Linked DNA regions of Drosophila melanogaster. The protein of the gene in region 3 interacts with the protein of the main gene of each other region in a pairwise test. Each region holds a gene or a part of one and is shown on either strand. Other genes may lie near its edges.

Evidence for each region.
Region 1: the proteins of Recs1 (region 3) and CG8960 interact in a two-hybrid assay, tested with the Drosophila melanogaster proteins (one large-scale study listed by BioGRID).
Region 2: the proteins of Recs1 (region 3) and Idgf6 interact in a two-hybrid assay, tested with the Drosophila melanogaster proteins (one large-scale study listed by BioGRID).

The regions. Positions count from the first base shown.
Region 1 is NT_037436.4:2,195,459-2,198,731, forward strand, and holds CG8960 (uncharacterized protein), read left to right. Parts: upstream 1-1,554; 5' UTR 1,555-1,937; intron 1,938-1,972; exon of another isoform or gene 1,973-1,998; 5' UTR 1,999-2,081; coding exon 2,082-2,426; 3' UTR 2,427-2,631; downstream 2,632-3,273.
Region 2 is NT_033778.4:16,689,127-16,694,259, forward strand, and holds Idgf6 (imaginal disc growth factor 6), read left to right. Parts: upstream 1-1,895; 5' UTR 1,896-2,082; intron 2,083-2,491; 5' UTR 2,492-2,643; coding exon 2,644-2,773; intron 2,774-3,221; coding exon 3,222-3,797; intron 3,798-3,859; coding exon 3,860-4,512; 3' UTR 4,513-4,625; downstream 4,626-5,133. UniProt on the Drosophila melanogaster protein: Probably required to stimulate the proliferation, polarization and motility of imaginal disk cells.
Region 3 is NT_033777.3:14,152,358-14,155,913, reverse strand, and holds Recs1 (Recs1), read left to right. Parts: upstream 1-2,084; 5' UTR 2,085-2,154; coding exon 2,155-2,949; 3' UTR 2,950-3,029; downstream 3,030-3,556. Other genes in the region: CG31533 (uncharacterized protein), read left to right, coding at 1-1,157; CG44215 (uncharacterized protein), read left to right, coding at 1,482-1,598; CG42500 (uncharacterized protein), read left to right, coding at 3,362-3,556.

The DNA.
Region 1 (3,273 bases), on a different chromosome or scaffold from region 3:
TATCTGCAATTGATTGTTGATTTATTTTCGGGAGGAAATAAAATAATATACAGGAGGAGAAATGTGGCTAGAATGAATGGTGTTCGTGGATTTATGTTGGGCAATATGAATTCAAGTCTACTTATGATGTTTAACTCATGAAATATCAAAATAAAATTCATCTTCTGAATATCACCATAACTATGCATAAATGTTTGCACTGTCAAAACTTTAACGATCAAGCAATTGAATCAAAGAGAGAAGAGATATTTTCTTTATCCCAATCATATCGTCATCTGTCTGCAACTGTCCAACCATTTGGTGCTTCCCTCGGTGAAAAGTTTTCAGATTTGTTTGCGTGTTTCGCTGGGGCAAAGTGAAGTTGCAAAACCAAATCGGGCGATCCGAGTCACAACTATCAATTAAACTAATTAGCTTGATTTCCCAGCAGAGTTGCCCGACCGAAGGGACACGCCCAAAACTTTCGCCTTGGCTCTCGGCTTCCTTTTGGGCTGCGGTTGCGCTGGAAAATTCAATCAGCGCGTGCAGAAAAACGCAATCAAATGATTAAGTCAACAAATGATGGCAAATTGCTGGGGCCGCAGCTGGTGCCGGACTTTTGGGATGCACTGTGTGCGGAAAATCGAAGCCAGAAAGCAAAAAGTCGCCGCAGCGGCCAATGAGGTTGTTTCAACTGAGGTCTTTCTCAAAACTTTGCTCAGCTTCTCCTCGGGGATTCCCCTTTTTACCAGAGTTTTTTTTTTTTTTTTGTGACAGCAGCAGAGCGCATTTTAAGCAGGTGAAAAGCGAAAGAAAACTTTTAGTTTTCTTAATGAGTGTGGTACTTTGGCTATTGATTAAATGGAGGTTGCTGCCAGCTGTTCTCCCATCTTCTTTTTCTGCTGTCCAACATATTTTAGCCATTTTTATGGCCCAGCCTGCTTTTTGGTTCACATTCAAATTCAATTGACTGGGCGTGGCACGTGCTACAGGGTACATATCTATCCATCTATATCTATATCTACTAGTGAGTGTGTGGATGCCTCCTACGGCATATTTATTCCCTTTTTTTGGTTCGATTGCCTGGCAGGAAATTTATTTATATTCAATTTGTGAATTTATGCCACTTTTTCTGCCGGGGAAGATGGCGACAATGCCGGGGGAAATTCACTTTGGTGCAGTTGCATCAATGGGGCAGGAAGCAGGCTATGTGAGAAGTGCACTAGGCGAAAATGTGTCGGGGATTCGGGGCTCGGGGGCAAACTTGATGGGCTTACTGAGAGCTAAACGAGTGGATATTCTGATAAGAGGATTTCGAAGAGATTCTAAGGAGCAGATTGTTGAAAAATATATTTAAAAATGATTTAGATAATATTATGCCAATGAAATATTGGTAGATGGAAGGATGAATAGTAAAGCATAAGAACCCAAAAGACTAACTTCTTGATTATATGCACGAATTTTGATATTAAGATGAAGTGAAACTTATTGACATGCAATAAGAATGAAGATACTTTTACTTGCAATATTTGTTTATGGAAGAGAAGCAGTTACAATGTAGCATTGGAAGTATAGTCATACAAATGTGGACTTCATTTTAGCTTGAAATTTCTCGCTGTGCCGCACAGGACCTTTGTTAGCATCTTGCTCAGACTTGCCGTTCCGTGGAAGGAAACTTAATGCTGTATTTACGGCCACAGATGCAGATACTTCTGCTGATGGTCCGTTCGTTGCCTGTCGTTGAGGTCGATACCGAATGGATATATTTTCCGCAAAATCATAAACACATTTGGTCGCTGCCGTTCTGGCTGATTACCTAATCTGAAGGACTAAATGCTAAATGTACCATTACCTGGTAGTTTCCTAAGGTACAGTTCTATCCCGTGAAAAACCAGCGGTACCTACTGGTCTACCTAGCCATCCAACAGAAGGTACTTAGGTAGAGGAAGGTTATCTGGGTATAGTATATATAGTGCGATTTGGCTGGGAATCCTTCATTCCGTCGATGTACTTCCACAGCGATAGTCAGCCCCGAATCGTCGTCCGTTGAGAGCGTGAGTTTTTGAGTCTGTGATAGTTAGACCCAGTGCCAAGTGCCCAGGATGTTATTCCTAGCGCCGCGCAAACATCTGTTTGCCACCAACCTGATCATCCTGCTGATGATCTACTTGATGCGCAAGTGCCTGCAGCTCTTCTGCATCATCGAGAACCGCGCCGTTCATCCGGCCGAGGAAGAGGAGAAGGAGGTCAAGTTGCCGGAAAGGGAGATCCTCCAGAAGCGCCGCGGCGGCTTCACCATCATCCCAGCTGCCATGCACCAGAGCATGCACGGCTTCGGCTACGGCGAGGGTCACTACCAGATCTTTGTGGAGAAGAAGGAGCGTAACCTCCCAACCAAATCGCGCCTTAACGCGGCCACTGCTGAAGTCAAGCTGAATCCCAATTAGTTAGTTGCCCGCGACCAAAGGGAACCACTGACATCCCAGCATGTCAATGACAATGTGCCAATTGAGCCCAGCAAAGCAAAATCAAACCCAATCCACAAATATCCCTCTACATCCAAGTCTTCTTCAATAGTCTAAATAATATCTAATGCATGGAACAACAAACACTTATTTTGTACAGTCATCAAAGCGCATTATTGGCCATAATAAAAAATGAAAAAAAATAGTTTTTATAGTTTCGTTAAATTCCTTCTCTTGGATGTGATTATGCACAAAATTTTCGCTTAGTTCTTATTAAAATGTTTTACTTGTAGTCAATTTTGATTGACTTTAAGGTGATCTGCAACTGTTCTGCTTACTTCGATTTTTACTTTGAGGCAGATTTCTATAGCGACTGAAACGGATTTTATTCCACTTGAAAAATGATATCCTGCGGAGGAGACGTCCTCGCTGATCGCGTGGGTGTTGCAGCAACATTAAATGGCCCCAAATTTATCACAAAGTAGCAGAACGCCCATGGAGCAGAAGAGGATGGGAATTGGGGATAGGCGGAGCTGGAGTTGGAAGATGGGACTGACTGGCAGCAGCAGCAACAATGTCAGACAATATGCTGAAGTAATTTGCAAATACTCTTGCCAAAAGGGGCGCAAGTAAGGTATATGTATTAATATGCCCTAAATTATTGAATTAGTTTAATGTGGCACTATATTTAAATTATGAGCGCAATTAATTATTAGTAGTACATAGTTTGTATTTATCGTAAAGCTAATTTACATTTAATAATGGACGCAATAACATTTTATATATTTCTCGCTGTATTTATTATTGATGTCATCTATTACGTTAATTG
Region 2 (5,133 bases), on a different chromosome or scaffold from region 3:
GGGGTAGGTGGTGTCTGTTGGCGCACAGAAACAAACGAGCAGCCAACAAAGTTTTCTCTGTTTACTGGTGTGTGCTGGTTTTTGCCCTCTGCCCAGGGCTTAATATGCAGGGAGATATGCTGGTGAAAAAGACGCAGAGTTTGAGAAGCGATACAGTTGAAATTCGATAGGTAATGTTTTTTTCTCAGAACCAAATACAGTACTAAATACTAGTACTTTCTTACTTAAGCCCAGCTACTATCTCAGGAATACAAATAACTTAAAATGGAGAGGGAAAGCACTTAAATACCATTTAAATCATATATCACAAATGCTTGCTAATCTTTCACAAGAAGTTCTATCGTACATGCAGTGCTCAGCATTTCTCCTCCCTGCTGACTGGCTCGTTATAGACCGCCTTCAGTGGCTTGGCTATTCTCATAATATTTTTGAAATATTATTAATGCCGGCCAAAAAGCAGGCAACACACTGCTGGCCATCTGCCAAGCGGTTTCACTTTAATCCACAAAAGTGTATCATACTTCGGGGCCGCTCATAAATATCAAATGGAAACGTGTGTGAGTGTGTCTGCTGGCTACGCTTTTAATTAAAGAGCACCGGCTTTTAGCTCGATATAATAAACTGAAATATAGACAGACCAGCAGGCAAGCGTGGCAAGGGGGTGGGGGTAGCGGAAAAGGGGTAGCGGAAAAGGGGCAAGCGGGAAGAAATTTTATAAATTGCCATGACAAGCCCTCAGGCCCCGGGCCCTAGTTTCACTCAGCTCTCCGCAGAAAACCCATTTTTTGCCATATTTTCCCCCCATTTTACCCGCCACCACCTATCCCAACCATCAACTCTTGTTACAACATTTCAATTAAAAGTTAAACGTGCACGTAATTATGCGGACTACAAGGAAAATGTGTAAGTAATATTCCGCTGGCGCTGACTGAGCGAAAAGCGCATGGCGAAAATTAATTAACCAAAATGCGTTAGGCGAAAAAAGAAAAAGCTTTCGTAAAAATTAGACAACGACCAAAAAAAAAAACTTTGAAAAAACTCCTGTGACCTAAAATGAAACCTTTTTTCCATGGCCCTGCGTTTTTATTTATTTAATTCGGCCAGAAGCGCTCGTGCATGTGATTGGTTTTTCGAAGCTAAAGCTTAACCCCGATTTTTTTCACTCACTTTCCGTGAATTAACACCCACAAAAGCCGGAAAAAAAGAGATCAAAGCAAGACTGTTAATTGATAATGTAAAAAATTGAAATTGCAGCAAAAATAATTGAGTGCCAGGCCAACAGAGTTCTCCCTACACACAAATAAACCGAAGGGAGATGTGAGAATTGGATGTCAATTTCATTTGCCCTTTCATTGTAGGTACCCATATGTACATACCTACAAACATATGTCCATGAATTCTAAAAAACAATTCCTCAAGTTACATACAGATAGATGAAATGGCAAAAGTGGATATGTGGATATGTGAGGAAAAAAACTAGAAAGGGCAACGCGGACTAAGTAACTGAAATCGAAGGAGCACACACTCCACTTCTATGGCATGAATTATTAAAAAAGAGAAGACATTTCCAGCACTGAACGAAAAATGCAACTCTATTTCAAATGATAAAAATAAGCAAAACACGCCATTTTGAAGATACTAAAACCGTTTGGTTTACATTTATTTTGAAAAAAAAAAAACCAGATAAAAAGTTTTTTTTTACTTTTTACGAGGCGAGGAAAATATTGTATAATATTACTTTTAATTTTAACTAGTAATCAATTTTTTTCGATGCAGAACCTGAAAATCAGCATGTGTGACCAAAAGAGATTCAGAACAAAAGGAGGCGAGTGGATTGAACAGCGATTAGGGCAAGCAAACACAAGAATTATGGCAAAATCAACAAGAAGGAAACTGGGGGAAACAAAGAAGAGACTGGAAACGAGAAGCCCAGGCTTAGGGTTCAGAACAAAAACCCCAAATCGAGGTCGGGAATTGATAACAGCGGAGCAGCTGTAGCCTAAAAGCTCGAATTTGGCGATGCCGAGGCACAAAAAATTCATGAGCAGCAGCAAACAAGAAAAGAAAACAAACCAAAGATAAGTGAGTTGAGGAAAAAGAAGCAAAAATAAAATTTCTCGACATCTAAGTCGTAAAAATTTAAATATGTTTGTGCGAAGCCCACACAAAAGTACTGGAATTAATACAGTGGAAACAAGCTTAGAAGGACGACTTACATGTACAAGTCAACTAAGGTCTTCCAAAATAGTTTAAACCAGTTAAATTCAAGATGAGTGAAATATAAAATGTAGTATCATATTTTTTAAGTTTTATAGTCAGGTGCGTAGGAATAAGCGCTGTCAAAAAGAAAGTATATATTTGAAATTAGCAACTAGCAGTAGGTATAGGCCTAGTCCACCTTATTCACTCTCCACTGTATTTATTTCTAATGATCGCACGTCCGAGCTTAGCTTTGTTTATCAGCTCACACTTTGCTCTCAACCCACAACAGCAACAAAAAAAAAAAAAAACAAGAACAACAATGACGACCACGTCTCAACCTTCGACAAGCTGGGATGCGAAGTAAAGCCCCAGTTTCAGTTCCAAGTCGACACTTGAGCGGCGCACAACTCAACGGTATCAAGTGAAATCCGCGAATCAAAGATGATCATTAAAGCCCTAGCGATCGTTTCGCTGTGCCTGGCCAGCATTCAGGCCTCCAAGGTGGGAGCTCCGCAGTTGCCCAAGAAGCACCTGGTCTGCTACTACGATTCCGCCAGTTTCGTCAAGGAAGGTGGGTACATTCCGCATGGTTTTACATGGTATTACTTACTTTGTAATATACTTTGCCCTCTTAAATATTATATAACCTCCAGTGGAAGTTGCTAATTAGCAAAAGTAAAATAAGAAAACGAAATCGAAAACAACGACTAGGCTTATCAACAAATACTCGGAACTCGATTTGTTTAGTTTGTTTGCAATTTGGGTCGAGTGTGGAAGCGATAATCGAAAAGTAAATCTCACCGAGACTGGTCGTAAATTTAAAATAATTGGCATAACTAAAAGCTTTTCAATTGCAACAAAAATGTGTGAAAGAAGTCTTTATTTAATTTTAAATAGATTTCTTATCTATTTGCCATAAACTATGTATTAAAATGATGACAGCACTATAAGACAGAATCCAGGGTTTTCCCAGTACGTAAATCCCTTCTCCTAATCGCCGAATCCGCTCTTTAATCTAGGTCTGGGCAAGCTGGTAATCGATGAACTGGAACCGGCTCTGCAATTCTGCGACTATCTGGTCTACGGCTATGCCGGAATCGAGCGCGATTCGCACAAGGCGGTGAGTCTGAACCAGCAGTTGGATTTGGATTTGGGCAAGGGACTTTACCGCACGGTGACCCGCTTGAAGCGCAAGTATCCCAATGTCAAGATCCTGCTGAGTGTGGGTGGTGACAAGGACATTGAGCTGGACAAGGATGCCAAGGAGCTGCCCAACAAGTATCTCGAACTGCTCGAGAGCCCCACAGGTCGCACTCGTTTCGTGAATACCGTCTACTCGCTGGTAAAGACCTACGGATTCGATGGCTTGGATGTCGCCTGGCAGTTCCCCAAGAATAAGCCGAAGAAGGTGCACAGTGGAATTGGCAGCCTGTGGAAGGGCTTCAAGAAGGTCTTCTCCGGCGACTCGATCGTCGATGAGAAGTCCGAGGAGCACAAGGAGCAGTTCACCGCTCTACTCCGTGATGTTAAGAACGCCTTCCGTCCGGACAACCTGCTGCTCTCCACCACTGTTCTGCCCAATGTGAACTCATCCCGTTAGTATTCCCGTTCGCAATGTCTAGAGATTTAAATTTTAAAACGAATTCTATCAACACAGTGTTCTACGACATTCCCGCTGTGGTCAACTATTTAGACTTTGTGAATCTGGGTACCTTCGATTTCTTTACACCCCAGCGTAATCCCGAAGTTGCCGACTATGCCGCACCCATTTATGAACTGAGCGAACGCAATCCCGAGTTCAATGTGGCTGCTCAGGTGAAGTACTGGTTGCGCAACAACTGTCCCGCCAGCAAGATCAATGTGGGCGTGGCCACCTACGGTCGCCCATGGAAACTGACCGATGACTCTGGCGACACTGGTGTTCCGCCGGTGAAGGACGTCAAGGACGAGGCTCCAGTGGGTGGTAACACTCAGGTGCCTGGCATTTACAGCTGGCCGGAGGTCTGCGCCCTGCTGCCCAACCAGAACAACGCCTATTTGAAGGGCGCCAATGCTCCGCTGATCAAGGTTCAGGATCCTGCCAAGCGTTTCGGCTCTTATGCCTACAGGGCAGCCGATAAAAAGGGCGACAATGGCATCTGGGTGAGCTTCGAGGATCCCGATACTGCCGCCGATAAGGCCGGCTATGTGCGCACTGAAAATCTGGGTGGAGTCGCGCTATTCGACCTGTCCTACGATGATTTCCGAGGACTCTGCACCAACGAGAAGTACCCCATCCTGAGGGCCATTAAGTATCGTCTGACCAACTAAAGTGGGAGTCCAATTTGATTTATGTATAGCTGACCATGTGAAGAAAATGCTTGATCAAGAAATATATTTGTCCCATTTATATTTGTAATGTCATAAAGTGCCTCAGAACACATAATGGTTTCAGTTCATTTTTGGGTGTCAAAGGAAATATGCTCGGGTTAATTTATATCAGTTATGTGCTACTGTTCAGTTTGGTACACAAAGGCACATATAATATAAATTTCAAATTTGGCAAATAATTATTGATTGCCTACGCAATTTAATTGAATACCGAATTCATGTTCGAAATATAAATTTCGCTATCGCATCTTCTTGGTTACACAATTTTATGTATCGATTGTTCGTTTCAATACAGCAATAATTTGCGACACGCTGTTCATAAATTACACAATCCGAAGACCCAGGGGAATATTTAGGCATTCGCTGCGGCTTGTGCGCCAATGCTGTTTATGCTCCGATGAATAGCCAGAATCCAATTGACTTTGACAGAAAATACTTAATCGGCTTCATTATTAAAGCAACCAGAGTGGCTGACACCCCCATCGAGCATCGAGTACCCAACAAAGCTGGCAACGAAAGCTCCAAATTGACTGCTCAACATTTGTCATTGAAGCGAAAACG
Region 3 (3,556 bases):
CGAAGGTATTTTCCGAGCTAAAGAATCTGTACCATATCCACGACACCAAGAAGCTTTCAGCTATTAAGGAACGCTGCGCATCTCAGTCCTTGTTCACTATCCGCAGCAGGCGATCCATCAAGGAGCTGACCAAATCGCTATACCCAGGAGACAAAATACTTGACGGAAGAAGCCATCATCCAAAGGCTGGCCACAAAAACTGCATTTCGTCCTCAAGCATTGTGTCTCGTCGCCATGGTTGGAACTGGACAAAAAGTTGCGAGGCACGGAAGAATGGCTGGCGGCCAGGTGCCATCCTACGATCCTCTGGCCATGTGATGCGTCACTTCCTGATGCGAAGTAGAGATCCGAATATGTGCGGCAAGGTAACAGCTGATTACGAGGAACAGAAACGATTTGGCCATCCCGTGCTCAATATTTGCAAGCGAAATGGTAATATATTCGTAACCCTTCGTCCACTGCCCACTTTGGGTATGAAACAGAAACCCATAACGTTCCGGATCGTCAAGAGCGATATGGCGGTGGCACTGCGCCAGATCAAGCGTGCTCTCAAGGATCAGGGCTTCGAGAAGTGCAAGTGCCACCAGTCCCTGATGATGTGCACCTGTCGCGATGCCTTGGATAAATTTCACCTGAATAAGGCTCTCAAGAAAGAGTGCCAGAAGCGTTTTATAGAGCCATGTCCCGACCACTTGGTGCTTACCGACACAAGTGAGAGCGATTTGGAGTTCGATCTGGATGTGACTCCGCCGGCGGGAACTCGTAGACCGAAGCGCAAAGCCCTTAGGAACGTGGTGAATCATAGCACCCAGACTGCAATGAAGGAGCCACCAGTTATACCGCCTCCATATCCAGTAGCCCACAATCACTTCTATAGGGCCTACGATTGCGCAGCAGGAGATCGGTATATGGGCACAGCCTTCGGCGATAATATAGAGACCGTTTTCGAGGATGGAGTCTTTGGATACCGGGGTGGTGGCCAGCATGGAAAGCCCGTAATCTGGCGACACCCGAAGGTGTGGGGCAAGAAGGCCCAGGCACCACTCCCGATTGGAACCGCTAGGAACGCCATCGATCCTTACCGGTATACCAAAAATGTTTGGAAAGAACTGCCGCGAAAGATAATACAAAAAATGAGAGCAAAATCAAGGAAATAATTGTATTCTTTTATTAAAAGTCAAAATGTAATAAGCGTGTTTTATTTCTCTTAAGCTACAATGGCAGCCGTTTGGAATTATAGGAATTAGTATAATAGTATTATAAATAATTTTATTTTATATTAGGGAGCACATTTTTTGTGATTGTTAATGACGCAATCCAACTTGTTTTCAAAGTATTGCTAAAATTCTATTAATACGAGCATAAGAATTTGATTAAATATGCTAATTATATAGAAATTATAAACTGGTCTCAATCGACTGCAAACGGTAGTATAAAAGCGCCATGCCAACTGTTAGACTGTATTCATTAAAGTTACCAAAATGAAGATCTTCGCTCTGTGCGCCTTTTTGCTCCTCATCCTGGCTGCCGTCCAGGCCAATAGTTCTCCTGAGACCAGTGCGATCTCTGAAGGGAACCTTAAGAAAACTGCTGGATAATTTATAATTTCACGAAAGCTACTTGAATATTGGAATAAATATTCTATTTAGCAGCAGAATTTGTTGTATTTATTTGTATGCCCTTGCAGAGGGTATAATGATTTCAGACAGAAGTTTGCAACGCACTAAGGGGTACATTTGCAACCATTTAAAATATGTATAAATAATAAGTATTAACAGCAGAGTGTATATAGCCATATAGTCATTTAGTTATCCGTAAGTCCGTTTTTGCTCAAATTAGTCACATATTTAAATCTTTACATAAAATTGTTGTTTGAATTTAATAAATACGCATTACTGCAAATGTATATAAGACGGAAGACAGTATTGGATATATATTATTATAATATTATAATATTGTGAATTTTCGAATTCTAAAGAAATGAAGTTAAAGTTATGTTTATGATAGTTACTAATTATGAAAAGAAGATTTATAGTTTCTAAGAAGTAAATTCCATTTAACGTTGACTCTTCTGTCATACTATACTTCAATTTCCGACAAAGGTTATTAAATTAAGAATTAGCAGTTACTTGAAAGTTGTGTTCGAAGGACACAATGCTGGATATTTTACAAGAACCAGTACATCAGTATGGAAATCGGAGCCACCAGGCGGAGTGTATTCCGCTGGGAAGATATACAGCTTACGGATCGGAAATCGGACAGGATGATCCAGACAAGGGCTTGGGATTCTGCAGCGCCAGCATCCGGCGAGGATTCATCCGGAAGGTGTACCTCATCCTGTTGGCCCAACTGATCACTTCCCTGGTGGTTATAGTTTCACTTACTGCTGATAAACGGGTGCGTCTGATGGTGGCAGAAAGCACCTGGATATTTGTGGTGGCCATACTAATAGTGGTCTTCTCTCTGGTGGCTCTGGGCTGCAATGAGGATCTGCGTCGTCAGACCCCAGCTAACTTCATCTTCCTATCTGCCTTCACGATAGCCGAGTCCTTTCTGCTGGGCGTGGCAGCCTGTCGTTATGCCCCAATGGAGATTTTCATGGCCGTGCTAATCACGGCGTCAGTTTGCCTTGGACTCACCCTTTTTGCTCTGCAGACGCGTTACGACTTTACCGTCATGGGTGGCCTCCTGGTGAGCTGCCTGATAATACTGCTCTTCTTTGGAATTGTGACCATCTTCGTGGGCGGACATATGGTCACCACCATATATGCCTCATTGAGCGCTCTGCTCTTCTCCGTTTATTTAGTTTACGATACACAATTGATGATGGGAGGCAAGCATAGGTACTCCATTAGTCCCGAGGAGTACATATTCGCTGCCCTAAATATTTACATGGATGTAATGAACATATTCCTGGACATTTTGCAATTAATCGGAGGATCCGATTAGTTGCATGAAATCTCACAAACACACAGATTATTTTACATCTGCAATTCGACGTCGAGTATTAATAAATCAAATTCAGCAGCAAGCCTATTTTACATTTACTTAAAAGCCTAAATATAGGCTTTAAAAATTTGGATATTTTTTATACAAAGCACAGTTGCCATAAATAATATAATTAAACTTGTTTGCACAAACAAATGCAGAAATAACAAGAATGACCGGTATTCAATGATCGCACCTGTTCATAATCGCTAATTAACGGGCAACCTATATATTGAAATACATTTCGTATAATTTAGTGTTTTGTGACCCAAAAAATAACGAAAAATTATAAAAAAAAAGATAACTGTAAACGGTTACGATATTAGGTATATAAGATCTTCCAGCACCTCAAAGTGTATCAAATTTTGAAACGATGAAGTTCTTTGCTCTGTGTGCCTTCCTCCTCATTGCCCTGGCTACCGTCCAGGCAACTCCCGGTGATCTGCGCCATGTTCCTGTAGGACACGGAGGACACCCAGTCAATGCTGGCCACGGACCTGTGGGACACGCTGGTCCTGTTGGACACGGTCCAGTTGTAGGCCATGGTCCAGTTGTAGGCCATGGTCCA